7 linked regions of the Cricetulus griseus genome follow. The protein of the gene in region 3 purifies or fractionates together with the protein of the main gene of each other region. This does not show direct contact. Links are inferred from orthologs where the notes say so. Each region holds a gene or a part of one and is shown on either strand. Other genes may lie near its edges. The genes, in order: Tiprl, Cct2, Ppp6c, Ppp6r3, serine/threonine-protein phosphatase 6 regulatory ankyrin repeat subunit B, Ppp6r1 and Arhgef2.

Region 1 (4,059 bases), on a different chromosome or scaffold from region 3:
TCTACAAGTGAGACCCTGTCTCAAAAAAGAAACAAACCCTGTCTCAAAAAAAAAAATATATTCTTAAAAGAAAATAGAAGGTGGGAATAAAAAAGAGATTAGTAGAAATCAGAGGGGAATAAGAGTGTAGTATAGCCGGGCATTGGTGGCACACGCCTTTGATCCCAGCACTCGGGAGTCAGAGGCACGCAGATCTCTGTGAGTTCGAGGGCAGCCTGGTTTCCAGAGCAAGTGCCAGGATAGGCTCCAAAGCTACACAGTGAAACCCTGTCTCGAAAAAAACAAAAAAAAAAAAGTGTAGTATGAGAGGTGTGAATGTGATTGGAATATATCATGTACATGTAGGAAAATGTCATCAGGAAACAAAACCATTATGTAACAATATAGTCTTATATAAGGTCAAGAAAAGAACAATGCACATTTATACTCTTTCCAACAGTTTTGCATTTATTTCCAATTAGACATATTAAACAAGTCTTTGTGTACATATTAAAATCTGTATACATATTAAAATCAATTAAAAAAAGCCTATATGATCAAATAAATTAGGGTTTAGAGCGAAGAAATACTGCTCCTTATGAGAAACATCTATCTCATTTCTGAGTCGTCAAAGGCCCATTAACAGTTTAAAGAGAGAGAGAGAGAGGCAGAGAGAGAGACAGAGTTTAAATATCACCTAGGAGATGACTTAATGCACTGTGTTTTTATATGACATCGATATCAATAATAGCTATGAAGAAAAGATAATGAAGGACCTGTCACTTGTAAGGGAAAAAAACAACTCTTCTGGTAAAATTTTCAACTTCTAAGCAATTTCAAAATTGGTGATAAAAAGAAGCAACAGTAGCTAAGGAGGGTAGAAACCAACACTTACAAGGCTCTAGGAATCTACATTCCACCCTAGGGCCACAGTCACTACACTTGCTTACAAGGCTCTAGGACAATTAAACTCCACCCTGAGGCCACAGGAACCAAACTTTCTAATAATTTGACCAGATTTATACTTTCTGATGAAGGATAGCTATAGAAAATAACCAAGTACAATTACATACTAATTACTTCTAATAGTGAAAAAGGAATACTGAATGTTCAATTGAAAATAGTTTTGTAAGGGGGAAAAAAGCTATTTTTTTTTTGTTTGTTTTTTCCCCCTTGGGGGTAGGGGAGGCAGGGTTTCTCTGCATAGCCCTGGGTGTCCTACTCACTCTGCAGACCAGGCTGGCCTCAAATTCAGAGATTTGTTTGCCTCTGTCTTCCCAGTGCTGGGATTCTTTTGCATATATACATTTTAAATCTCTAAATAGGATCCTGCTATCATATCCTATCCATCAATTGGCCATCAAACGTAGGCGCCTAATCTTAGCTTCTCCAACTGTCTCTTTGCCACTTCCTGGCCTCCTTTCCAGCTCCCAGCCCTTCAATCCATCTTCTAAACACACCTCCAAGAAACCTTTCTGACCAACCATAACACCTGGTGGCTATCAGATAAAATCCAAACTCCTTAGTACAACAGAGAATTTACTCTCCAGTGACACCAGAGAGAATTCTCCAAACACACTCTGCCAGGCTGCCCCCACACACACACACACCAATTTTGTCAAGATACAGTTCAAGCATCCCCAAACATCTCAGAGCTGACTCCTGGCTTTACACACCCACCCAGACTTGATCAAGATTCTGCCCAGGCCAGGCAGGTGGTGGCGCACGCCTTTAAATCCCAGCGTTTGGGAGGCAGAGGCAGGCTGATCTCAGTGAGTTCGAAGCCACCCCGGGCCTACAGAGAGTTCCAGGAAAGCCAGAGCTACACACAGAAAAGCCCTGCCTCGAAGGAAACAAAAAAGATTCTGCTCTGATGCACTGACTCACACACACACAACACAAATAGCCCCGTCTACATACATCTTCATCCTAAAGAGCCACATAATTATAACGGTCTCTCAGGAAACTAGAAATTCCTCAGGACTTTATCTTTCATCTTCCATATCTCAAGTGCTTATCACAGCACCTCATTTGCTAAAAGTTAAAAAAAAAATTGAAAACTGAAATCGCTCCGAGTATACAACTTCATCCTAAACAGTCACGGAGTAACATAACGGTCTCACAAACTATGAAGTCCGGGGACTTAATGATTCGTGACGTTCCGAATCTCAGGCGCCCACCACCACACATCCCCACAGGCTAGAAGCTAAACATAAATGCCATTTCTGTCATTGCTCCCGAGGGAAACGGGTCATCCACGCCCAGAAAGGTGGCGCGCGGGCTTAGGTAAGGGTATCAGACAGGAGGGGCGAGGGCAAAGTCCACCAAAACGGCCGCGCTCAGTTCAAGCCTGCGAAGCGACAGTTTCAGCAAGCAGAGGTCGCGAGCCGGGGACAGGACCATTCACTAAAGTTGTCAATCAACGGTCGCCTCAGAGGGGCAGAGCCTGCGGCTCCGAGACCCGCGCGAAGCTGCACCGAGCCCGCTCGATCCCCGGCCGGGCCCGACCCCGTCCCCGACCCCGTCCCCGTCCCCGTCCCCGACCCCGACCCCGTCCCCGTCCCGGTCCCCGCCCCGCAGCCTCACTTCTCCACATCCGCAGACTTCATGATGTGGGTCTTGGCCGCCGTCAGCTTCCAAGGCCCGAAGGAGAAGTCCTGGTGGCTGCTCTGGAAGCCGTGGAGCATCATGGCAGAGGTGGACCGCAGGACCACTCGGAGCAAGTGCCGGCGGCAGCGGTCACAGAGCGGCCCTCTCCGAAACGCGGCTCCCGGGTTTGTCCGTTACCATCCCGGCCCCGCCCCCTGCCGCCGCGCCGAGGGCCCGCCCTTCCGCCGTCGCGTCTGTCCCTTACTGGTTTTGCTTCCGGGACCAGCCACGGGCTCTGCGTGACTCGCGTCTTACGTGAGGAAGCTGAGGGGCGGGGCCTAGGACGCCTGGGCGTTCTCGTGGGCGCGCACCCGGAAGTCTCCCGGTGACGTCACTCTGAACCCCGAGCTCCCTGCTTCTCTGCTTTCCCTGCTCCCTACAGACGCCTCCCGGCAGTGTGGTGCGTTTTTGAGTCGCGGTAATGAGGACATCCCCGACGCCCCTAGCGTTTAGAAGGCCCAAGCCAAACAGAATATATCAGTGGCCTTCGAGCCAGCGACTGATGGTGGCTCCGCCTGGCATCTCCGTGGAAGAGCACGCACTTGCCTTGCGAGCCGTCGAGGCCCTGTGTCCCGTTCTCAGCATCGCGAAGGGAGCGCCCAGTTATCCTTCTGACGGTTTAATAAGGCGTTTTCTGCCTGCACACCGGTGTAGTGGGAACAACGCTGGGAGCCTGGGCTCCGTCTGTGCCTGCAGTGCAACTCTGTGTATCTTTGGATCAAAACACTACTGATTATTTTTGGCTTCGGCTGCCTCAAAAAAGAGATGTTAGAGCATCTCTCAGAACTGTTAACCATCTCAATTCCAGTGGCCCCTTTTTATTCCTTCCCATCTTGCACGAAACGTTTCATCGACTCTGGAGCCACTAAGCATCGTCCCTCCATGGTTCGTGATTCAGTTCCTGCCTTGACTTGTTAGAGGTGTAATAATAACCCCTTTCCTCCTCGGGTATTTCTGTATGTATTTCTGACCCATCATCAATTTCCCTGCCCAGGGTCTCTGGGTTAATTCATTGTGTTGTCATTCCGTTTTTGCTTCCTACTACAGTTACTCCGTTCACATTGCCTGTGGGAAGTGGGGCGTGTCAGCGTCCCCATGGAATGAAGTTCCTTTTGAATTGTGGATGGTTGTCCACCTTCGTCACTGGCCTACAGCAGTTGGCTACTGAAGTACTTCCCAAGGCGGCTGAGGCCCTTTCACTAACGTTTCATTGAAAACCTCACATTATCTGGATCTGTTAGAAGACATAATGAGGAAGTGAATGAGGAAACTACATGTAATAATATCCATCCCAACAGTTTTTCTGGAAGAGTCTCAGATAGACTAGGCTGACCTTCACTATTTTAGCTAAGGATGAACTTGAACTTTGCTACATCCCAGGTGTTGGGATTATAGGTTTATATCACCAAGCCCTCCTCCATTTCAACATTC
Region 2 (4,066 bases), on a different chromosome or scaffold from region 3:
AGCCCCAAATGGATAATAATGATACTTCTGAAATTCATTTCAACAATGGCTAATGACGGCTATCATTTAAATAGTTGTAAAATTATTAACAAATAGATATGCAGACTCACCAACTAAAACTTTAGCTGCTGGGTTGTCAACACCAATGTTTTTTAGAATGGTGGCACCATCATTGGTTACCATTAGAGAGGCATCTCGTCCACTGCTTAGAAGAATTTTGTCCTTAAGAGAAATTGGTTTGTGTCAAATTGAGGAGTAAGTACTTCTTGAAGAAACCTGGAGTCAGTAACTGCACTCAGCTTTCCATTGCTGACACACCAACACTCTGGGTGGTTACCTGACCACCAAACATTTCAATGCATGTATCCGACAACCAACCCTCAAAAACTTGGAGGTACAGGTAACACAAACTAGCTCTGCTACAGCACCATGACAGACAACAATGGAAGCAAATGTCCATGAACAAAGTTAAAAGCAAACCCCAGAATACTGTATTGTGGTTAAAGAAAAATAACGTATTTTTAAAAATCATCACAATGGAACCCTCCTTATGCTAGTTAAAAGATCAATTTAAAAAAATTGGTAAAAATCCACAAGAGGGAGTTCAACAAAAACAGAGTGCTGAAGACAGGGTCAAAGAAAGCAGTGGGAGGCACTGAAGGAGGAGGTATCAGGGAAGTTGAAAGTTTGCTGGGTGACCTTGACCCAAGTCAGGGCTTGGCCATGTGTGCCAGAGAGGAGATGGCTTGGGTTTAGTTATGTCTTGAAATTGGAAGTGTGGGGTTTGTTCAGAGTGTTTATGATATCGAAGGACATATGGACAGTTAATGACTTTAGTGGAATGAAGCAGTAGTAGGCATTTGGCAATCATTTGGGCAGAGGAAACATAGGCGTCTGAGAAGAGATGAGATTTGTGTGGAACAGGTGATCATGAGAGAACAGGAGCCTAAGGGTGAGGATGAGTTATTAACAATGGAGGGGTCAGACAGGAAGGAGCTGGAGGACCCTCTTGTGTATGAGAAGGATGGGGAAAGAGGTCTTGGAGAGTTTTTTGACAGGAGTGTAGAGGATCTGGGGCAGAAAGGAGAATGCTAAGGAAAAGGGTAAGTATGGAGGGATTGAGGGAATGACGGGTAAGGAATGTCAGTGATGAGTTTTTGATAAAGAGAAATTTGGAGATAAAATCTGAGGCGATGGAAGTGACAGTAGAGTCCTTTGTAAGTTAGGAGTTGAGGGGAATAGTGGTGGGAACAGATGGTAAGAGGGGATCAATAGATTGTGAGAGCAGATCCCGGAGCTTGTAAGATTTAGTGATGAGCAGAAGGGCTGTGAAAGAGGGCATTCTACAGAGTTCTAGAGAGGAGTAAGCAACAGGGGCAAAGGTCCTTCTTAGGAAGTGTCTATGTATTTTGGAAGTGTTAATGATGGAAAGGTTTGTACAAATCTGAGAGGCAGAGGGCTGGAGCAGAAGAGAGAACACTTTAAGAGATTGATTGTGGGTGGAAGGACAGTAAGGCTATAAAAATAATAAGCATGTCAAAAGAGGTAGCAAAACTGACAGAAGCTTAGAAGAGGACACCAAAAAACCAAGTAGACACCAATAGCACATACACATAAAAGTGTTATCTTAGAAATGCATTATGAAAATCTATGATAAACTTAAAAATACTACCAGGTTTTGCATATAAATGGTAACACTTGCTGCCAGTGGAGAGTAATGTTCGATTGGGGATGGGGATACAGGAGGATAATTTTTTATAATTTAATGTTTTAGCTTGCAAAACATAATTTTTCTTACCATGCCCTTGGGCCCCAAAGTGCTCTTCACCAAGTCTCCAATGGCGATGGCACCAATAAAGGATGACTTAAATTAAAAGAGAAAAAAAGAAATCAGAAAAGGCGGTCAAAACTTACCAGAAGAGAGAAAAGTACAATCTTGTCATTTAAAAGAGGCGGAATGAACGGGCTTACCAGGCGAGCTGTTTCGGCTCTCTCTTCATCAGCTCCAGCCTTGAAGATATTCACAGGTGCCAGGGAAAGGGACGCCTAAAGAAAGGGAAACCAAGATACTCCGTTTGAATGCCAGTACTCTTGAAATTAACACATGTCGGGAGTCCGTCATGGGAGTGGGAGTTTATTTAAATGGCGAGAGGGACTTACTGGTGGGCGCCAGGAACCAATCAACCGGCTGGTATGTAGGGCTAAACTAAAGGCAACACTAAGGGGGAGGCAAGCGGCGTCGGAGGCACAGTGGTCCCAACCACCAGGGACCCTCCATCTTCCACAGGCCTGCACAGCCACCCGCCCGTCAGGCCCCGCCCCGAGGAGGGCGGGGCTGACAAGAGTACTAGAAACTTCTTCGTTTGGGGTGAGTCCCGGGGGTCATCGGGGTCCCCTAACCACGAAGATAGTTGATCTGAGACAGAGATGCTGGCTTGGGGTGCACTCTCCCTTCGCGCCCCCCGTAGAGAGTTCGGTCTGCGGATCCCACGCAGGCCTCACGCCCGGCCATGTGCGACCGGCCGGCCCGGGAGACGGCCTCAGGGGGCCTGTGTCTCCCGTTAGATAAAAGAGAGCGGCGGGGAAGCGGGACACAGCGGCACCCGGGCAGGAGCGGAGGTCGTGGCCCGAAAGCTAAGCTCACCATGGTTCCGACGAACTCAGCGCAGAGGATAATCCCTCACAAGCCGCGCCGGGAAGACGGCAGGGGAAAGGAAGGCGGAAGTGACGACACACTCTACCGAGGGGGGCGGAACCGACCGCGCAGGTTTCCGCCCGTGCGACCGCCTCCCTCCTGCGTAGTGGGCTGTGCCGGAAGCGTAGCCTCTGGAGGCCGGGGGTGGGGGGTGGGGGGACTGGACTCGCGCCACGCCCAGTGGCGGAAGTCACTGCAGATGGGGGAGGGGCTAAGGGCGGGCCCATTTAGAGTAGAACTCCAGAACAAAGAGACACAGAAACTGAGTTCCTGCTTACATGTATTTTTAAGGTCAGATGTACAGTTTCAAGTGTTGTACGCTAATCATTTCCCTCACTAACTCTCCCTGGAAGCAAACACTCAAGTTTTCATCTTTTTTTCCCTTTGTGGGGATTATTTACCTGCGTGGAGACTACTTCTCTTTCTGGGGCATAAAGCCCATGTTACACAGAATTCCCCTAGCTGGCCTTTTGTTTGTTTTTGTTTGTTTGTTTTGTTTGTTTTTTTGGCTTTTTGGAGAGCGGTCCAGAAAACTTAGTAGGGAACTAACCTGCTCCTTAGTTAGAAGCATAGCCTTGGAAAAGGCTGCTCTGGTTGACAGAGCTTTCTGAGGCTTTGTGACGAGTCTGCCGATAAAACGCTTTCTGTTCCCAGTGTCCGGATGACTCACAGCTGCTTTTCTAATCAGCGGGCCCGGGGGTGCTTGCCTCATGCCACACTTCAGGTGTTTGTCATCGGTTGCCACATTTGAGGCAGGAGTGGCTCCGGCAGTGGCTCGGGCAGCCTGGGGTAGCAAGCTGCTGCTGGGGTGTCCATAGTCTGACAATCTCCTTGTTCAGTTCTCTCTCTCTCTCTCTCTCTCTCTCTCTCTCTCACACACACACACACACACACACACACACACACACACACACACACACACACACGTACGTACGTTTTTTTCTTTTAAGTTCTACCAAAAATTGGGTTTTCCACCCTTCTAGTTATAATCATTGCTGGCTGGTGTAGCATACTGGTCAAAGGGATGCTCTCGGGAGCTGACTTCCTGTTTTGTTTTTGTTTTTTGTTTTGTTTTGTTTTTCAAGACGGGATTTCTCTGTGTTGTCTTGGAATTAGCTGTGTAAACCAGGCTAGTCTCAGAGATCTAACTGCCTCTGCCTCCTGAGTGCTGGGATTAAAAGTGTGTGCCACCACTATCTGGCACAAACTTCTTTTTAACAATTTAATACTGGCCGGGCTTTGGTGGCGTATGCCCTTAATCCCAGCACTAAGCACTCGGGAGGCAGAGGCAGGTGGACCTCTGTGAGTTCAAGGCCAGCCTGGTTTCCAGAGCGAGTGCCAGGATAGGCTCCAGAGAAACCCTGTCTCCAA
Region 3 (4,140 bases):
AGGGTCTCCTGGTTGACAACTTGCTAACTTAGACCGAGCTATCCTAGAGCTCACAGTTATCCATTTGCCTCTCCAGGGCTGGGGTCAAATGTGTGCTCCACTATCGATGGCTGATTGGTTAATTCTTTTTCTAATTTTTTTTTTAAAGATTTATTTATTATGTATACAGTGTTCTGTCTGCATGTTTGCCTGCAGGCCAGAAGAGGGCACCAGATCTCATTATAGATGTTTGTGAGCCATCATGTGGTTGCTGGGAATTGAACTCAGGACCTCCAGTGCTCCTAACCTCTGAGCTATCTCTCCAGCCCCTGATTGGTAGAAAATTACAGGTTGGAAACAGAATATATATTCTTAAATTTTTATTATTTTATTTATTTTTGTCTTCAAGTGGGTTTGTGAATTACATCCATACAGTGCCCCAGAGACCAGAAGAGGGTGTCTGATCCCCTGGAACTGGGCTTACAGGATTTGTGAGCAGCCTTGTGGGTGCTGGTAATAAAACTTGGATCCTGGTCCGGAAGAGCAGCTAGTGCTCTTAGTCACTGAGCAATCTTTCCAGCCTCAAGGATAGAGATTTTCGTCTACTGTGGTCACTAAGCTCCTACAAGCTATCTGTACTTAATTACTGCTCAATATACAGTCGTCAAATGAACCAATGTTAAAGCTATATTAGATGTCAAGAACTGTTCTTAACACGAGGATACGACAAAAATCAAACAAAGTAAAAGCAACAAAAACTAAACCCTTCTTGCCGCCCCCTGGGACTCACACATTTAATCAAGTCAGTAGTCTGTTTTTTTAGTCTAGGCTCCACCTTTTTTGTTTCCTTTGATATTTGGGGGAAGTAACACGTGCAAATTTTGCACGCCCTTCGGTCTTACAAGAAAAGGAAAAACAGCGCGCCAGTATTTGTACAGAATTTAGCCTAAGAAATGCTTTAATATTTGTTTGTTTTCTTCCAAGCCAGAGAATTGGGTGTGTTAAATCTGTTCTACACATCTAGGCCGGGGTCTTCACTAGCCCTGGAAAGTCGGCAAGTTACCCTAACTTTAACTGAAAATGCTGAGTGCTAGGGAAAACCTACTTATTCACTTGGTAGTCTTCCCGCAGAAAAGCCTCATCTGATTTCCCTGACATGAAGGGTAGGAAAGGAAGAGCATTCGGATTCACGAAAACTACAAATCCCAGCATCCTCCGCGGCAGACAGCTACGGGTCCCAACAGGCTTTGTCAGCAGGACCCCCGGAGTTCGGCCTGAGAGGGCGCAGGGCGTGTCGAGGCGCGGAAGAGAAGCAACTCAGGTTTTGACGTCGCTGCGCAGACGCCACTCACGGGTCGGACGTGACGTAAGGAGAGTTCCGGCTTCGGCCTCCGCCGCTGCCTCCAGTACTACCGCTGCCGCCGCCGCCGCCGCTGCCGCCGCCGCCGCCCCGCCGCCACCGCGGCTTGTTCTGCCTAAGATGGCGCCGCTCGATCTGGACAAGTATGTGGAGATCGCGCGGCAGTGCAAGTACCTTCCCGAGAACGACCTGAAGGTGAGCCGGGCCGGAGCCCGTCCTGCTGGCGAGGCAAGCCCCTTCCGGCCGTGGGGCGTCCGCCGGCCGCCCTTCTCCCCCGGCCGGACCCCGACCGGGCACCCGGCCCTGGCGCGGCGGAGGGCGCTGCGCGGTGCGAGGCCACCGGGCCCGACGCGGCGAAACGCGGAGAACCAGCGGAGCCCGAGTTCCCCGAATGCTGGCGCGGCTCCCTGAGGGGGTCCCGGGCATGTGCGGTCCCCCGGCCCCCCCTGGCTCAGCCTCTTGGGCTCTGACACGCTCGGTCTGCCAGCGGGCAGGGCTCTCGCGATGGGGTCCTCCCGGCAGAGGGGACAGGAGCTGCTGACGGCCCCAGGACGCGGGTGTCCGCAGTGTGTTTAGGAAGCCGGTGGGCGGGATCGGTTGACAGTAGTAGGACATTGTCAGTCGCCTGAGCTTCACCACTCCCCCAAATTGCTCCCTAATTAGCAGTGCTAGTTTTCTTCTGATAATTCGGATGGGGATCCCATTTCTCAGCACGGTGCTGAGCTATTTAAGTGAACAAGCGGTCGCTTATCAAGAGTGCAAATGCTTTTATGACCTCTGAGCTGTTCCCCCATAACCCAAAGTGTCGTTTTCTTCGTTTCTCAAGGTCTCACCCAGCTCAAGTTAAGAGTGTTGAAAGAATGAATGTAAAGGAAGCAAGCCGTTGGTAAACCACTGTTTTCAAACGTATTTTGCTTCTGCTAAAGCTAGTGCTTAGGTCTCCATTGGTGTTTATACGATGGTTGCTAGTTTTATTCCATTACCTTTGATTTACTGTGTGGTAAATACATAAACGCTCTCGATCACTTGAATTCTTTTAGGCTGTTTTTGTAATCATTTTAAGTCATGGGCTTAAAACTTTTTTCAAGAAAAAAATCTTGCTGATGAATTATATTTCTCCTAGGCAAGATGTTGCTCTGTGTGCGTTTTCCTGTCTCATTTGATACATGAAGTTGATCAAACAATATGCAAAATGTTTAAGATCACGTGTGCTGTTTGTGTGAAAGTACCTAACTTGTACTTAAATATTGATTGTATGTGTTACGTGGTTGGTATTCACATGTTCAGCCACCTGCATCTTTCAGTCATTTGGCTCTTCTTTCTGCTTGGTAATTTTTTTAGTTTTGTTTTCTGTCTGAGATAGCATCTTAAGATAGGTCTTGCTGGGGCTGGAGAGATGTCTCCGCGGTTCAAAGCACTGGTTGGTCTTCCAGAGGACCTGAAAATTCTATTCCCAGCAAGGACATGGCGGTTAACTCCTGTTCAAGTGATGTGATGCCCTCTTCTGGCCTTTGCAGGCATCAAGGCACATACCTGTTTCACAGACATACATGCAGGCAAAAAGTCATACACAAAATAAAAGTAAATCTTAAAAAAAAAAAAAAAAGTTCATCGTGGCCTCCAACCCACTAAATACCTGAGGATGACCTTGAATTCTGATCCTTTTGCTCCCACTTATCAAAAGCTGCAACTTAAACTACCATGCCTGGCTGCTCTGTGCTTATTCTTTCTTTTTTTATAAATAAATAAGATTTAGTTTTAATTAGTGTTTGTGGAGGGAGGAAGAGTATGGGCACATGGTGCCTTTGGAGGTCATCCTGGAGCTGGAGTTACAGGCAGTTTGTGAGCCACCAGATGTAGGTGAATAAAACTGAACTCAGGTCCCTTATACAGTCTAAGTGCTGAGCCATCTCTCCAGTTCACACGCACACACAGGATTATGTAGCCCAAGCTTGCCTAGAACCCCTGGGTCTGCTTCTACTTTAATAGTGGTTTATTCTATTTTATTGTGGTATGAGGATTGAAATTAATTTTGAAAAGTTTTGTTATTTTTATTTATGTTTTTGTATGTATGCCTGTGTGAATTTATGTGTACCGGTGCTGGCAGAAGCAGAGAGCATCCTAACCCTGGAATTGGATTTATAGGTGGCATGAGCTAACTGATGTAGATGCTGGGGGTCAAATCTGAGTCTTCTACAAGAAAAGTAAACCTTTTGTTTTGTTTTTCCAGACAGGGTTTCTCTGTGGCTTTGCAGCCTGTCCTGGCACTCGCTCTTTAGACCAGGTTAGCTAGAACTCCCAGAGATCTGCCTGCCTCTGCCTCCCGAGTGCTGGGATTAAAGGCATACACCACCAACATCTGGAGAAAAGTAAACTTTTAACAGCTGAACCATTTCTCCTGTTGTATGCTTTTTAATTTTATTTATTTATTTTGTTTATCAAGACAGGGTTTCTCTGTGTAGCCCTGACTGTCCTGGAACTCCCTATAGACCAAGCTGGCCTTGAATTCAGAGATCTACCATGTATGTCTCTGTCAGGGTATGTGCACCTGAGTGCAGACACCCTCAGAGGCCAGAGGCATTAGATCTCTCTGGAGCTGCAGTTACAGGTAGTGGTAAGCAGCCTGACGTGGGTGCTGGGAATAGAACACAGGTCTTCTACAAAAGTAGTTAACCACTTTGTCGCTTCTTCAGCCCCACATGTACATGTCTCTTATAGACTTCCATACGGCCCCCCACTCCTCCCCACCCCCCCCACCAAAGTTTTTGGGTAACTATTGGGTAGAATTTTTTTCCCCTATC
Region 4 (4,285 bases), on a different chromosome or scaffold from region 3:
CACTATGTGCTCTCTGAGTTTCAGTGAATCACTGGACTAGTCAGAACCACTGTGGTTACTACTGGGAGAGAGCACTGTCACTCCAGGCCTGTGTGACTCAGCCACCTCTGCTACCCAGTCTCCCTCCCATCATACCTTGGCCATTCCTGCCTTTGAAGCTCCAAAGTCCCACCCTGGGGTCTCTGTGAAACCCTGTCTCTCTCTGGCACCAACACTCTAGGGATCTGGAGCTCTGTCCTGTCTTATGACATACTACCTTCTCAGGAGAGTCTGTTCCTCAGTTTGATCATCTTGGTCAAATGGCAGGGATGCTGTTTCAAAAAAGGCTTTCAAGAGTGGGAAACTTTGCTGCCCTTGATGGCCAGCTGCAGTACCCCCAAACAGAATTCTGTCCTGTCCACTCTAAACAGGGCATGTTATTCATAGGGATATAAGGAGTTCTCTTAGTACCTTGCTGTGATAAAATATTCTGAAAAAAGCAATTTTAGGGAGAAAGGGTTCATTTTTGTCTCACAGTTCCAAGGTACAGGTCATTATGGCAGGGAAGTCAAGGTTCAGCCTGCTGGTCACAGCACATTCAGTCAGTTGGTATAGAGGAATGAATGCTTGTGGTCAGCTCAATTTCCCCAGGAGAACTGACAAGTGGGATTAACTATGACAGTGGGAAGTCGGGGATATTTCGGGAGGCTTGCAAGTGTGGATTCTGAAGTCCATGACTTCAGCTTGCGGCTCGACAAAAGTAAGGTACAATTGGTAGGACACTGGCATTTGGAAGAAATTCATGTGTAAATTCTCTGTGACAAAATTCATGACCTAGACCCTCTTCTAACAGTCCGTTATGCATTTGGGGGTTTTGATTCCATCTTTAGAGTTGTCCCTTTAGTCTGTAGCGGTTAATTTAAGCAGGTGTTGTTTTATAAAATTGTAGAGTGGAGAATGCGGGCATCGATCCCGCTACCTCTCACATGCTAAGCGAGCGCTCTACCATTTGAGCTAATTCCCCAATCATGAGCAGTTTCCGCCACAAGTCTTGTTGTGACTCACGTCATCACCGGTTTCCCTCGCGGCCGTTGCCCTACTGCCTGTTGTGCTACCTCATTGGCTCCCTCGTATCTAAAGCTACACAGCCGGGATTGGTTTGGCTCATTTGTTTTAAAATGCATTGACTACGCGAATTGGTGTTCCGAAGCGTCCGTCACACGAGGCACTGCTGTTGCTACGGCGTAGAGGGACCCAGCCCAAGCTTCTCCCAATTTCTGACTTGTTTCCCAGACCCCGGGGTCCTAGAGGTTCCGGATCCGTCAAGACCATGGGAAAAAGAATGCGCCTCTCGCATTTGACTGACAAGAACCGAGAGCCAATCGGAGTAGAGGCGAGGGAGCCGCTGGGAGGTCCAATAGGTTGTGGGGGGCGGGAGAGGCAGGCCAATTATCTTCGGGAAGGGGGCGGAGTCTTGCCCGTGATTGGCTGCCAGGCGTCCGGAGGGAGGGCGGGGGTAACTCAAGGCCTGCTTGATACGTCCGCCATTTTGGGCGCTTCGCTGATGGTGTCGGTGAGCCCTTTTCCCGCCTGAGCGTGACTAGCTGCGGGTCGTGGGCGCCTCCAGGTAACTCGGGGAAGGGAGCGCCGGCGCGGGGTGCGCGGGCCGCGCGGGGGCGGTCGACCGACGGGGGCGGTGGTCCGGTCCCGGCGGCGTGGGGAGGCAGCGTCCCGGCCCTTCTCCCCTCCCCCCCGGAATCGGCTGCTTTGGCGGCCCGGGAGGCGGCGTCCAGTCCTGGCCGGGACCGAGTCGCCTGCTCCTGTCAGCCCGGCCGCGCGTTGGCAGCGGGCCGAGCCGGCGGCGAACTTTGGACGCCGAGGTGACTCTCCGGGTTTGGCTAGGCGGGAGCCCGGGCGAGGCGAGGAGCTCAGCCAAGTCGGGGGTCCGGAACGAGCTCCTCTGCTCCCGCGCCAGGGCCTTCCCAGCGAGTTTTCGGGATCTCCCGGAGCTTGTCAACTCGTCGGGAGACCTTCGCGAAGGCCTTTGTTGCACTCTTGTCCTCCGAGGAACAAGTTTTGTGGGTTTCTGGGCATTCGCCGCAGAGTCATCGGGATACACAAAAACCAGTTCTGAGTCTCCCGGGGCCATTGCTGTGAATTCTCAGCTTCTGCCATAGGTTCTCTTAAACGCAAACCGGGGCACTCGAGACTCCTCGGTGTTTTGGAGCTGGGGTGAGGGCTTATCTTTGTGGCTCCAAGTACCTCCCTGTTAAGAAGCTCGGTTCACTGTTAACATGGAGGTTTTTTCCTTTCCATTCTCGTTGCCTTTTCTTAGAACTTGGACTTGAAGTTGTAGGTGGGACAGAATGAGTGTTCTGATTAGCTCCAAGCCTGGACTTCTTTAAGGCATGACCTACTGTCATTTTCCCCTACTTGATATAGTCTATTTAGTTTGGGTCAGGGCTTTGTTTATGTTTTGCTTCCCGGGGCGGGGAGGGGGGTCACTTAGACGTGTTTCCTTCCATCAGAGCGCTTGTTAATATGGATACTGTTTCACTTTCTTAAGTGAAGTTTGCTTTGGTTTTTGTCCTCAAGGTCATGTTGCAGATGGAGCAGCCAGTGAGAAAGTGACTTCAGATTTCCTACCGCTGAAATGTGCCTTGAAGTAGCAAGGTGCAAGATCCCGCTATCAGTGGTGGCTGAACTTTTTTTTGGGTCATTTGAAAATTGAATCTTGCTTTGACACTTTCTAGCCCTGTGACCTTGGGCAAATTAATTACCTTTGCTGCCCCTGTGACCCGGGAAAACAACTCTGTTCCATAAGTTTGTCCCAACAAATGTACAAGTTAGACCTGTAACTAACTGAGTATATATGTAAACAAGTTAACACAAAGCAGCTAGAACCATGCTTGGCACATGGAATCAGTTCAGTAGTGACCATAATTACCAAATTCAACTTGATCTTTTCATTTTATTCATTTTTGAGGCAGGGTATCACTGTGTGGCCAGAACATCTGCCTCATGGGATTAAAGTCATGCACCACTATACGTGACTGAATATTTATTGTTTGTTTGTTTGAGATGATAGGGTCTCCTGTAGCTTAAGATGTTCTTGACCTTTGTATTCAGCTAAGGATAGCCTTAAATTCGTGATCTTCCTTTATCTATCTCACAAACACTATGAGTAGAGGTATGCACCGACACACCTAGTTTAAAATTAAAATGTTTAGGTAAAAATAGGAAAGCCATGTGTTTAAGGATCAGGTGGGCTGAAAAAAAAAAACAAAACTGGAAGCGAAGTTGAAAATTCACTAAATTACCTACATGTACTGTAGCAACAGGTCATCACACTTGAGAGTGTTTTGTCTAAACCAATATTTATGTATAGAAAACACCCCCTGGAGCTTAAACAGCACCATTCCTCTGCTTTTAGGTACTGTTTCTGTGTGGTTGTCCCAAATCAATAATTTTGGTGATTTCCTGGTGTCACTTGCTTGTTACTGTCATTGAAAGACTGCAGTCTCGAGAGCTTCAGCAAAGGTGCAGGTTAAACATACCTAACATTTAAACACTATGAAACCTGATGACTTTTCAGCATCAAACTTTCAGATGGTGCAGCAGTTTGTTCTAGGAATGTAAAACTGGTAAAGTTTGTGCAAACACTCCAAAATCCGAAACTGAAATTGTAGTCTCAACCACTTTGGATAATGGGTGCTCAGTTCATAGCTTGGGGAGTAGAGTTGTGTGTGGGTGTTCTGGGACCTATTCTACACTTTACTGTTTGGCCAGGGAGTCTAGAACATTTAACAGTGTCTTTCACTCATTCAGTCATACCTGAAATCAGCCTTTTAATGTCTGCCCTGTGCCTTCTCCATGGTACTTGAAAATAGGCTTGTCTTCTTGGTGGTAGTTGCTTGTGACTTGGATTGACTTATGCAGTGGGGAAGAATGTTTTGATAAACTCCATCTTAAGTACACTGATTGCTTTAAAATACTTAAGCTTTTGTGTATAGTATATTGATCCCATCCCCAACTGTACTTAATCAAAAAACAACCACCTATAAACCACATAAACAAAAGGAGCTTGCTAGTTTTCATTAACTTAAGAGTAGTCTGTAGTTCAGAAAATAGATGGCACTGAAAGGAGGACTTCAGGTGGGGTTTGCTTATCTGCTTTAAGATGAAACTTTGTTGGTTTCCTCTAGAAAAATGTGCTGTTACAAACAAGCATGTCTTCCTTAGAACAGTTTTTGCCAGGGTTGATACTCAGTTTGCTTCTATGATCAACCTTGTAGTTGGTAGTTTA
Region 5 (3,500 bases), on a different chromosome or scaffold from region 3:
TCTCAGTCCTATGCCAATCTTTTCCTTTTAGGCATATGTTAAAGTCCCGGCAGATTTCAACATGGTAGCAGGCTTTTGTATAATTTTAAGAGCAACAGCAGCAATAAAATGTTACCTGGAACTCATATATATATATATATATATATATATATATATTATATATAATATAATATATGCAGAGAGAGAGAGAGAGAGAGAGAGAAGAGAAGAGAGAGAGAGAACAGACTGAATGCTATGGCTTACAAAATGTGGACAGTGTTCCTGTTGTTCATTTGAACGCTGCTGCTGAATGTGAGCTAATTCTAATATGTGTTGTTCCAAAACTGTGTGGAAATCAAATTATCATCCTTTTGTGACTGGAAAGAGGGGCCTTTATCAATCCAACATAACTACATTTGTGCCCTTCTCTCACTACGTCCAGAGCAAGGGAAGTCCAGTGTCCTTTATGGTATCCTTATTGTTCAGAGAGGAAGCCATGTCTGGAATGCTAAGGATATTTGTCTTCTTGTTCCCCGAGTGGAATTCCACAGTAGCTGTAAGGCTTCTCAAAGTGTCCATTCACTACACCAGAGGAAATGCCTTATTCTAGAGGAGGGGTTTATCATGCCGTGAGGCTTCTTTCCAGCACCCCTCACACTCACTTAGGCGCTTTGTTCTTCTAAAGGGGCATCTTTACTTCTGCACATGAGCCAGGCCACCTGGACTCTCTTGAACTGGAAACCAGGGCTACCTGTCAGCAGTGGTATGAAATCACTGATTTGAAGTCCACCTGAATTTCACTTTGGGGTGCTGGTTTTTAAAAAGAGAATGCCCATCATTTTGTTTTTCAGTTGTTAATGGTCACACGCTGTGTTTGAGACTACTACTCGAAATAGCAGACAACCCGGAGCTGGTTGATGTGAAAGATGCCAAGGGACAGTAAGTGTTTTCATGTTGGCCTCCGGCTGTTGTGTCAGTCACAAGAGCTGATTGGTTGGTTTGTGGAGTAGTGAAGAAGGCAGGCTGCTGAATTCTAGAATAGGAGGAGTACATCTCTGTGAAACTTATAGGTAAGGAGCCTAGAACAATGAAGGATCGCCCCAGGGCATATGTTTAAGTGAAGTATTCGGTGTGTGCTTATCTTGATGATCCTTTTTTTTTTTTTTTTTTTTTTTGAGGGGGTGGTTCAAGACAGGGTTTCTCTGTGTAGCTTTGGAGCCTGTCCTGGAACTCACTCTGTAGACCAGGCTGGCCTCTGAACTCACAGAGATCCGCCTGCCTCTGCCTCCCGAGTGCTGGGATTAAAGGTGTGCGCCACCAATGCCTGGCGATGTGTGCATATCTTAATGACAGCCAGCATCTTTTTACCTTGACTGTAGCCATGTTTCCTGATTTTTTAATATTTCTTATTTCTTCCCATCTTTGACTGACAAAGCTACCATTTCCCACTTTTTAATTAATAATGGCAAAAGGGCAGACCTCAAGAGTTTGTCTCTGTTTTGAAAAAAAAAAAAATCCTTCAGCTTGTATTCTCTCCTGAGTTTGTTTCTCTATCTGTTGGCCTGTTTTTCACCCAGGCTCTTCCTACAAATAGGAAGTACAGACGGAAAGACTGTAGTTTCTATCCCCAGGTGGACGGGGTTGAGTGAGTCAGAGCAGAGCCCTGTCTTTCTTCTTCTACACTAGTCAGCCTTATTTTCAAAGTGAGGAAGCTCTTTCCATGGAGGTAAGTCTTGAGCAAAGTTCGACACTGGTTGCTGTGAAGGTAGATTTGCTGTGACAGGAGCAGGGGTCTCTTCTGCGTGCACACATGTCCCAACCAGTTGGTACCTAGTGGTTGCCACACAGTTTTGAAAATGGTAGAATTAATATGACTACTTGAGATGAGACTGTCCCTTGCCTCGCCCTGGGCCTGTGTGTTATGCCGCCATTCCATGAGGCCCTTAGAACAGAAATAGATCTCTTGTTCTCCATGGCACAGAGTAGCAAATTAGATTACCAGAGACTATTAGGCACTTACTAAGAATAGAGAGAAAACTCTGCTCTCACTGGAAGTCCTTTTTAATCTTCCTATTTTTCTCTCCCTAGAACCCCACTGATGCTTGCAGTAGCATATGGACACATCGATGCCGTCTCGTTGTTACTTGAAAAGGAAGCAAATGTAGATGCTGTTGACATAGTGGGATGCACAGCTTTACATAGAGGGGTATGTACACCTTTCCCAGCTTTAGTCAAGTACCTACCTGCTCAATGAACTTGCTTTGTTTTTTTCCTACATGAGGTCTTAGGGGAAAAGATTTGTGTCATAATACAAGTCCGTTAGCTTCACAGTCAAAACGAAATTACAGAATTTTATACAACGATGCAATAAGGAAAGCTATAGTTAGGTCCTGCTTTAAGACTTTGTGTTAGATTATGATAATAGACACATGAATATCTACTGTTGGAGAAATTGGCTCACCTTTCTGATTACAAAATGCATATCACAAAATACTTACAAAATGTATTTTTAAGTGCAGGAAAAGAAAATCATCAGTAATCAGACCTCCTGGAGATAACCACATTTGACACATACATACACACATATACATATATACACACATATACACTACATATACACACAAAAATCATACACATACACATAAATATACACACATATATGCAAATATACACATATACACATACACACATGTGGTATATATTATTTATGATTTATTAAAGCTCACCTGATAGTCAGATAAGCAAACCAGCCAGCCACTAGCTCTTAACTCTACTTCAGACTGAAAGGGTGATCCAGCTACCTTCATAAATCCTCAAATTGCAATCCTAGACTGCTGCCTCTCCTCAATGTGGCTGGAGAATAAATCCTCACATGAGACCCTTTGGTTCTTCCTTTTTATATCTCCCTAATTTTGGGATGAAAGGCCAGTGATCCCAAGTGGTGAGATCACCTTTGTGTGAGCTGTTTCTCTTTAGGACTGAATCAATTTCATGTAAATCAGTGTGGCCTTGAACTAACAGAGATCCATCTGCTTGCCTCTTGAGTCCTGGGATTAAAGGTGTGTGCTACCTCCACCTCACTCTATGGCTAGCTAGTACGGCTACTGAGATTAAAGGTATGTATCACCATTGCCTGACCTCTATGGCTTGTGGCTAACTTTGCTTTCTGAACCCTCAGACAAGCTTTAATAAATCATAAATAATATATCACCACACCATATACACAAATACACACACAGATACACACACACACACACACACACACACACACATATATATGGTCATTCTAGTGTGTAGGTACCAAAATAAATTCAGTGATTACCTGGTTTTGAACAGTCATTCTATTTCTGTTGCTCTTTGTGACAAATGATGGCAATGTATGTATCCCATGGCCAATTCTTTATACATATCTGCTGGATTTTTTTTTTGAAGGGAAAAAATAAGCTAAATGGACAACAGTAGAAATCATAAAGTTGTTATGCAGAGGCAGCATAAACAGCCTAATAAGTGACAAGAAGAAT
Region 6 (3,335 bases), on a different chromosome or scaffold from region 3:
TGAACTCACAGAGATCTGCCTGCCTCTGCCTCCCTCCCGAGTGCTGGGATTAAGCCTGGCTGATTTGTAACTCTCTGACTCATGTCCTTTTTGCCTACATTGCATCTTTCCTCACTACCTAGGTCTCTTTTCTAAATGTCACACTGTGCTCACGTTTGTACCGTTTACATACACACATGTGCTTTAGGAAGTAGGCTCTGCATAGGAGGGATAAGGTGTTTCCTGGCATTTATAGCTGGAGGAAAAAAGCAAAGTCAATCTTTTATTTGGAAAGGTCTGTGTGTATTTGACACTGGTAACAGCTGCGACTTGAGAGATGGTGCCTCATCTCTTGTGGTTGTGGCTGAGTCTTGTTCTGGAGTGACTCAGACTCCCCTTGTTTGCTGGCTTCTCCCTGCGGCATCTTCATTGCCTGGGTTCCCTGGACCTCCCTGGAGGCCTCTGTTGCCCATCATCTTGCGCTGTCCTGCTCTGTGGCTGGGGAAGTGGGTCAGTAGGCTGCCCCTAGGTGGCCTCCTAATGAGTTGGTGTCTGAGGCAGGAGTGGAGGAAGCACAGACAGCGAGGACGACGAGGATGAGGAGGAGGAAGAGGAAGAGGATGAGGGGGCTGCCCAGGCGGCCTGTGGAAGGGCCAGCCCTCCCTCCTTCCCCAGCCTAGGCCCTCAGCCTCCTGGTAAGTGTTTGGTGGCTTGTGCTCAGGTACACGGGGCGCGGCTGCCTTCTTGAAGCTCATCCTCTGTCCATGCTCTTTGACCTCTCACAGCCCCAAGTTGGACAGCCACCTTTGAACCAGTGCCTACGGATGCCCCAACAGGACCCTCAGTTTCCAAGAAGACAGACATGTCCTCTACCCAGATCCAGACCAGCTCTCCAGCCCACCGTGCCCCACAGCTCAGGTATGGATGGGCAGGGCAGGGCAGGCAGCTGTGACTGTCATCTGGGAGGGACTCCCACGCCCTGGTCCTCTCCTGAGCTTGGGTGTTGACCACAGCCACATGTTCAAGTTCCTGTCTTACCTTCTAGGTCTCAGGACCCCATACCCCCCTCAGCACCTCAGGAAGTCACAGACAGCAGCAAAGTAGCAGAGCCCTTGGGTGAGCCAAGCCGTCCCTTTCCCAGAAGGGCAAGGGCTCTGCCTCAGGCCCATGTGTGCTGTGAAGACAGCAGTAAGGCCATGTCTCAGCTTGCTGACATACGGCCCATCTCTCCTTCCACAGCCCCCTGCCAGGCCTTGGTTAGTGTTGCGGATGTCCAGGCCACTCTGCATGGGATGTGCTCTGACCCCAGCTCCTTGGACAGGTGACTGTTGGTGTCCATCTGAGCTGCTTGCTGGAGGAGGGGTAGGGGAAGCCCAGCCTCCTTGCTGAAGTGGCTGCTGCGCCCTTGTCCCTACTTGTCCTCAGCACCGGGCTCCACTTTGAGCTCCTTTGCCCCTAGAGCTGGCTGTTCCTTTTAGTGATGAAATGTTTTGGACAGTGGCAGGAGTGTGCGTGTTACCATAAGCGTACCCTGAAGGGGGTTGGCCACTGAGAGTCAGGTAGAAGGCTGAGGAGCCCCGGCTCTCCCGCCCCCATGCTCTCTCTGCCTTCAGTGTGCTCATAGGCTTCCCTGTTGTGAGGGCTCTGTGCCCCAGCCTTTTCTCACCTGAGGCCCATTCTGGAGAGACCACTGGCCTCAGCAGGCAGAGCCTGTCAGCAGGCATCTAACAGTAGTCAAACTGGTCTCTCCTACAGTGCAACCAGAGACCCCTCTACCTCTGTCCCAGCCTTTGAGGCCCAGAAGTCCCCCCAGACAGTGGAGGGGGAAAAGAACCCAGAACCTTTGGGGCTTCCCCAAAGCCAGAGGTGAGTTGGCCTCTCCAGGAGGTGTTGGATGGATGGGCAAGGATGGTGGGGCAGGAGGTAACCCCCAGTTCTCCTTTCTCCCCGAACAGTGCCCAGGCCCTTGAGACGCCCAATGGCTCTACCCCAGGAGGGCCCATTTCATCGGGTTCCCAGTGAGTGTGCCCCCAGCCTGGTGTGGGTGGGCAAGATGGGGTCACTGGACCTCCTCACACGTGTTTCCTTCTGTTTCTAGGTAGCTGCCTGGTGGCAGTGATGGCCAAATCCTCTGTCCTCCCCATGGAACCCCACCCCCCCCAGTGGGGCAGGATGGGTCCTTTGGTGGCCCTCTTGCCCATTTCCCCATATCCTGCATTCTCTCCTCTGGACTCCAAAGGAGGCTGGTGCCAGGGAGATGCCCTCACCCACCCCATTTGCACTGAGAAGAGAAACTATGGAGCTTTGTCTCCTAGAATAAAGATAGAGAGTCACATAGAGAGAGAGAGGAGAGAGAGAGAGGTATATTATATATTATATATATATATACATATATATATATATATTGAGGGAGGAGTAAGAAAGGAAGCCAGGACAATAGCTGGGTCAGCAGCTCTGAAGCACAGCCTCCCGGGAGTCGTCTGTCCAGCGGGGACCGGCGCTGGGCTTTGAGGCTGCTGACCCAGGCTCTGGTGCAGATGCTCACACCCGGCCTTTCACTCAGGACCACCTTGGGGTGTAACAGAGGGCGCTAGGCCCAGAGGGCCATGCGTTTGTTCAGACCTTGCACTTTGACCAGGCATCTGGCCCCTGGCCCTGGGGAGCGGGGCTTCCCTGGCAACATCCCTAGAGGGCCAGAACCGGGGATTCTGGGTGCCCAGTACCCTGAGGGTCCCAGCACTGCTGCCAAGTGGCCTTGTCCCAGCTCCTTCCCCCAGGCTGGCGTGAGTGTGCAAGTATGTGTGCAGGGTTTGTGTTTCATACTGCAAATATAAATAAAGGAAGACAGCTGAAGAATCCTGGTGTCAGACCTTGAGTTCTGGGACTCAGGGTTGGGTGAATCTGCTCTATATGGTCTAGAGAGAATGGCATTCTTTTGGAGGACACTGGTGAGTGTGTGAGAGTGTGTGTTTGTGAGTGTGTGTGGTGAGGAGTGCTTTTTTGTTTTGTTGTTGATTTTTTTTTGATACAGGGTTTCTCTGTGTGGCTTTAGAGCCTATCCTGGCACTCGCTCTGGAGACCAGGCTGGCCTCGAACTCCCAGAGATCCGCCTGCCTCTGCCTCCCGAGTGCTGGGATTAAACGCGTGCACCACCAACGCCCGGCTGAGGAATGCTTATTTTAAGTGTGTGTGTGGCAGGGGTGGGGGGTGAGGAGTGCTTATTATGCTCACCAGGTAGAACACGAGGAAAAGGGCAGCAGTCTTGTTGAGTTAGCGCTTTGGAATCCTCTCATCATGATGTGCACTGCCTTGGCCCTGTTTGGAGATACAGATCAGGGTAGGAGCTGTGTTGTCAA
Region 7 (3,500 bases), on a different chromosome or scaffold from region 3:
GAATGCTCCAAGCCCAAAATTAGGTCCTTCCACTCTGCCTATGCTGACTCTCTCCCCTGGGCTGCCTGTCAACGGGCTCTTTGGGTCCTTGGGCCTTTCCGCCCACACCTAACCTATTCCTGTTCCTACAGTGGAGCTGCAGCAGAAGGACCGGGCGCTGGTAGAGCTGCTGCAGGAGAAGGTTGGGCTGTTTGCCGAGATGACCCACTTCCAGGCAGAAGAAGATGGTGTCAGTGGGATGCCCCTTCCCGCCCTGCCCAGGGGCCTTTTCCGTTCCGAGTCCCTTGAGTCCCCTCGAGGCGAACGGCTCTTGCGAGATGCCATCCGTGAAGGTGAGGGATCTCCTACGGAAGGGTCAAGACTGTTGACTCAGCCTCACATAATGAGGCCCTAGACCAGGGCCATGTCAACCCCACAACTCATAAAGGCCCTTGAGGGTTTGTCCTGGGACGAGATCTGACTTTGCTGTTGTTGGATGCATCTCCCTCTGGCAGGCTCTGCTCCTACCCCTTGGACATCTTTGATGTCCCTTGGATGCCACATGGCTGACTGAAACCCCAGTACCCAAATGTGGACTCCCTAAATACTTGAATGGTCTGTGTGTGTGTCTGGCGACTCCCACCCGTTTTGACTCCTGCCCCCTCCTCCTCTCCCTTCAGTGGAAGGCCTGAAAGACTTGCTGGTGGGGCCTGGTGCCGACCTGCTTTTGACACCCCGAGAACCAGCTTTACCTTTGGAATCTGACAGTGGTAACACCAGTCCTGGGGTCACTGCCAGTGAGTACGGGGCATGAAAGAAAGGAGGGAGTGGCTAAAGAGTGGTGTGGGGTTACAGGACCCTAAGGAAGTAAGTATACACTGCTCCGCCTCCTCTTCTGCAACAGATGGAGAGGCCAGAACCTTCAATGGCTCCATCGAGCTCTGCAGAGCAGACTCAGATTCCAGCCAAAAGGTGGGTTCCTGGGAGAGTCAGGGAGTGGCTAGAGAAAGGGCACAGCTGGCCTGTGGGTCTTCAGTGGAAAGCTGCTGGGAGCACCCCCCAGGTCTGTCTGTGCCTGCTAACTCCCCACCCTTGTCCATTTCTGCAGGATCGGAATGGAAATCAGTTGAGGTCACCCCAGGAGGTGAGATGGGAATTCTGTGGTAGATAAAGGAAAGTTCTGTCTGTCTGAGGAAGCCTAGCCCAGTTTGGGTGATTTAGGGGAGTGTGTACTGAAAGTATGTCTCTAGACATTATTTCCACACCCTCTTGACAACTTCTGGGCACTTATCCTAAGCTTGGGCACCACTGCATCCAACCTTTATCTGTCCTCAGGAGACGTTACAGCGATTGGTCAATCTCTATGGACTTTTACATGGCCTTCAGGTCAGTGAGCCAGAGCTGGAATGGGGGCTCCAAAGGGGGGGGGTGCCAGCCAGAGGTGTCCATGTAGGTGACATTCATCCCAACAGGCCTCAGTACGCCCCAGGCCAAACTTTCTGTGTTCCTGGGATTGAGAGAGAGGTAGGTGGAAATTGCTTCTGAAACACCTTTTGGCCTCATTCCATCCTCAGGCTGCTGTGGCCCAGCAGGACACTTTGATGGAAGCCCGATTCCCTGAGGGTCCTGAACGGTGGGAAAAGGTATCCCGAGCCAACTCTCGGGATGGTGAAACTGGCCGGGCAGCGGTTGCTCCTGTGGCTCCTGAGAAGCAGGCCACAGAGTTGTCACTGCTGCAGCGCCAACACACTCTGCTGCAGGATGAACTGCGACGCTGTCGTCGGCTGGCTGAAGAGCGGGCAGCTGAAGCTAGCAACCTGGAAGTCCGGCTTCGAGAGAGTGAGCAAGCTCGGGCCGTGCTGGAGCGGGAGGCTGAAGAGGCCCGCCGACAGCTGGCAGCCTTGGGTCAAAATGAGCCACTTCCAGCAGAGGCCCCCTGGGCTCGCCGGCCTCTGGACCCTCGGCGCCGCAGCCTTCCAGCAGGCGATGCTCTCTACTTGAGCTTCAATCCCCCTCAGGTAAGGCTGTCTGGAGTTCTGGAGTGTCTCTCAAGTGAAGCTAAGAGCTTGCAGAACCTGAAGGACACTTGGTTGTTGGGCATTTAACCCCAAGTGACAGCAGAGAACAGATTTGAATGACAGTACTAGTTGGGATATGGGTAAAATGTCTCAGTTGGTAAAATGTTTGCCATGTAACATGAGAACCTGAGTTCGATCCCCCAAACCTTTGTTCAAAGGCTGATGGTACATGCTCACAATCCCAGTGACGAGGAGGCAGAGACAGGTTCATCCTCTCCACTCTCTGGCTAACTAGCCTAGCCTCTTTGAGTAGCAGGCCTCTCCCATGAAACAAGGTGAATGATTCAGCCGGCCCGTAGTGGCGCAAGTCCCAGCACTCTGGAGGCAGAGGCAGGCGGATCTCTGTGAGTTCGAGACCAGCTTGGTCTACAAGAGCTAGTTCCACGACAGCCTCCAAAGCCACAGAGAAACCCTGTCTCAAAAAACTGCCTCCCAAAAAAGGGAGAAGAAAAAAAAAAGCAAGGTGGATGACTCTTAAGATAGAACTCTGGCTTCCTTATACACAAGTGCACACACATACAGACAAAAACATACTAGTTACCTTAAAGAAATTTAAGGTGTGGCAAAGTCCTCTGCAAATCTCCAGTACTTCCAACAAATACGCTCTGTTCTCCCAAGATTTGTGCCAGTAGACGATGTAAGGCAATGTGGGCATTATTATACCTGGAGTCCATGCGAAGGCTGAGGCTAGAGAACCAACTTGACCCAGTGGATATAGAGATGAGGGGATTATCAGTTGGTAGTAGATCTTCTGAAGGGGTGGGGATGCGGGTTATTGGTGACCCTCAAGAGACGAGGTGTGTTGGGGCCCCCCAGGGCCCGGTGTCCTTGCACACCAGTGCCTTCAGTCTCCACACTGCTCATCCGCTGCATTTGTGCTTTTGCTTTCCATAGCCCAGTCGAGGCCATGACCGCCTGGATATGCCTGTGACTGTTCGTTCCCTTCACCGACCCTTTGAAGATCGAGAGAGGCAGGAGCTTGGTAGCCCCGAGGAGCGGCTGCAGGACAGCAGTGACCCTGACACAGGCAGTGAGGAGGAAGGCAGTAGCCGATTGTCTCCACCCCACAGTCCACGAGGTGAGATTCTTGTGGGGTTGTGGGGTCTGGGTCCAAGCCCTTGGGCCTGTGGCTTCTGAGTGTACTTTTACATGACTCCTGAGGCCCAGTTACTCCGGGACAGCCTGGGCAGGCTCCCTGCTCTGTGTGACGACACGGGGGTAGTAGAAGTTTTATGTTGTTGTTGTTTGATTGTTGAGGGTTTTGGGGTTTGTTTTGTTTTTTTGTTTTTTGTGCATTGGTGTTTTGCCTGCATGTGTATCTGAGGTCAGATCCCTTGGAACTGGAGTTATAGACAGTTGTGAGCTGCCATGTAGGTGCTGGGAATTGAACCCAGATCCTCTGGAAGAGCAGTCAGTGCTTTCAACCCCTGAGCCATCTCTTCA

The links.
Region 1: the proteins of Ppp6c (region 3) and Tiprl purify together in Homo sapiens (co-immunoprecipitation; 4 studies listed by BioGRID and IntAct, with this or other methods). This does not show direct contact. The link is inferred for Cricetulus griseus from reciprocal best matches to the Homo sapiens genes PPP6C and TIPRL.
Region 2: the proteins of Ppp6c (region 3) and Cct2 purify together in Homo sapiens (affinity purification with mass spectrometry; 4 studies listed by BioGRID and IntAct, with this or other methods). This does not show direct contact. The link is inferred for Cricetulus griseus from reciprocal best matches to the Homo sapiens genes PPP6C and CCT2.
Region 4: the proteins of Ppp6c (region 3) and Ppp6r3 purify together in Homo sapiens (affinity purification with mass spectrometry; 10 studies listed by BioGRID and IntAct, with this or other methods). This does not show direct contact. The link is inferred for Cricetulus griseus from reciprocal best matches to the Homo sapiens genes PPP6C and PPP6R3.
Region 5: the proteins of Ppp6c (region 3) and serine/threonine-protein phosphatase 6 regulatory ankyrin repeat subunit B purify together in Homo sapiens (affinity purification with mass spectrometry; 5 studies listed by BioGRID and IntAct, counting the BioPlex papers as one, with this or other methods). This does not show direct contact. The link is inferred for Cricetulus griseus from reciprocal best matches to the Homo sapiens genes PPP6C and ANKRD44.
Region 6: the proteins of Ppp6c (region 3) and Ppp6r1 purify together in Homo sapiens (affinity purification with mass spectrometry; 11 studies listed by BioGRID and IntAct, with this or other methods). This does not show direct contact. The link is inferred for Cricetulus griseus from reciprocal best matches to the Homo sapiens genes PPP6C and PPP6R1.
Region 7: the proteins of Ppp6c (region 3) and Arhgef2 purify together in Homo sapiens (affinity purification with mass spectrometry; 4 studies listed by BioGRID and IntAct, with this or other methods). This does not show direct contact. The link is inferred for Cricetulus griseus from reciprocal best matches to the Homo sapiens genes PPP6C and ARHGEF2.

Annotation. Positions count from the first base shown.
Region 1 is NC_048598.1:27,164,825-27,168,883, reverse strand, and holds the start of Tiprl (TIP41-like protein), read right to left. Parts: upstream 2,801-4,059; 5' UTR 2,670-2,800; coding exon 2,566-2,669; intron 1-2,565. UniProt on the Homo sapiens protein: May be a allosteric regulator of serine/threonine-protein phosphatase 2A (PP2A). Isoform 1 inhibits catalytic activity of the PP2A(D) core complex in vitro. The PP2A(C):TIPRL complex does not show phosphatase activity.
Region 2 is NW_023276806.1:139,274,439-139,278,504, forward strand, and holds the start of Cct2 (T-complex protein 1 subunit beta), read right to left. Parts: upstream 2,801-4,066; 5' UTR 2,648-2,800; coding exon 2,645-2,647; intron 2,047-2,644; coding exon 1,972-2,046; intron 1,865-1,971; coding exon 1,799-1,864; intron 223-1,798; coding exon 111-222; intron 1-110. UniProt on the Homo sapiens protein: Component of the chaperonin-containing T-complex (TRiC), a molecular chaperone complex that assists the folding of actin, tubulin and other proteins upon ATP hydrolysis.
Region 3 is NC_048599.1:150,486,031-150,490,170, reverse strand, and holds the start of Ppp6c (serine/threonine-protein phosphatase 6 catalytic subunit), read left to right. Parts: upstream 1-1,340; 5' UTR 1,341-1,459; coding exon 1,460-1,534; intron 1,535-4,140.
Region 4 is NC_048596.1:55,664,178-55,668,462, forward strand, and holds the start of Ppp6r3 (serine/threonine-protein phosphatase 6 regulatory subunit 3), read left to right. Parts: upstream 1-1,485; 5' UTR 1,486-1,606; intron 1,607-4,285.
Region 5 is NC_048595.1:409,103,703-409,107,202, reverse strand, and holds part of serine/threonine-protein phosphatase 6 regulatory ankyrin repeat subunit B, read left to right. Parts: intron 1-830; coding exon 831-918; intron 919-2,067; coding exon 2,068-2,185; intron 2,186-3,500. UniProt on the Homo sapiens protein: Putative regulatory subunit of protein phosphatase 6 (PP6) that may be involved in the recognition of phosphoprotein substrates.
Region 6 is NC_048602.1:23,283,754-23,287,088, reverse strand, and holds the end of Ppp6r1 (serine/threonine-protein phosphatase 6 regulatory subunit 1), read left to right. Parts: intron 1-540; coding exon 541-674; intron 675-764; coding exon 765-897; intron 898-1,024; coding exon 1,025-1,095; intron 1,096-1,218; coding exon 1,219-1,300; intron 1,301-1,734; coding exon 1,735-1,845; intron 1,846-1,934; coding exon 1,935-1,997; intron 1,998-2,077; coding exon 2,078-2,081; 3' UTR 2,082-2,835; downstream 2,836-3,335. UniProt on the Homo sapiens protein: Regulatory subunit of protein phosphatase 6 (PP6). May function as a scaffolding PP6 subunit. Involved in the PP6-mediated dephosphorylation of NFKBIE opposing its degradation in response to TNF-alpha.
Region 7 is NW_023276806.1:65,869,395-65,872,894, reverse strand, and holds part of Arhgef2 (rho guanine nucleotide exchange factor 2), read left to right. Parts: intron 1-131; coding exon 132-332; intron 333-659; coding exon 660-776; intron 777-883; coding exon 884-951; intron 952-1,087; coding exon 1,088-1,123; intron 1,124-1,314; coding exon 1,315-1,365; intron 1,366-1,553; coding exon 1,554-1,997; intron 1,998-2,951; coding exon 2,952-3,135; intron 3,136-3,500. UniProt on the Homo sapiens protein: Activates Rho-GTPases by promoting the exchange of GDP for GTP.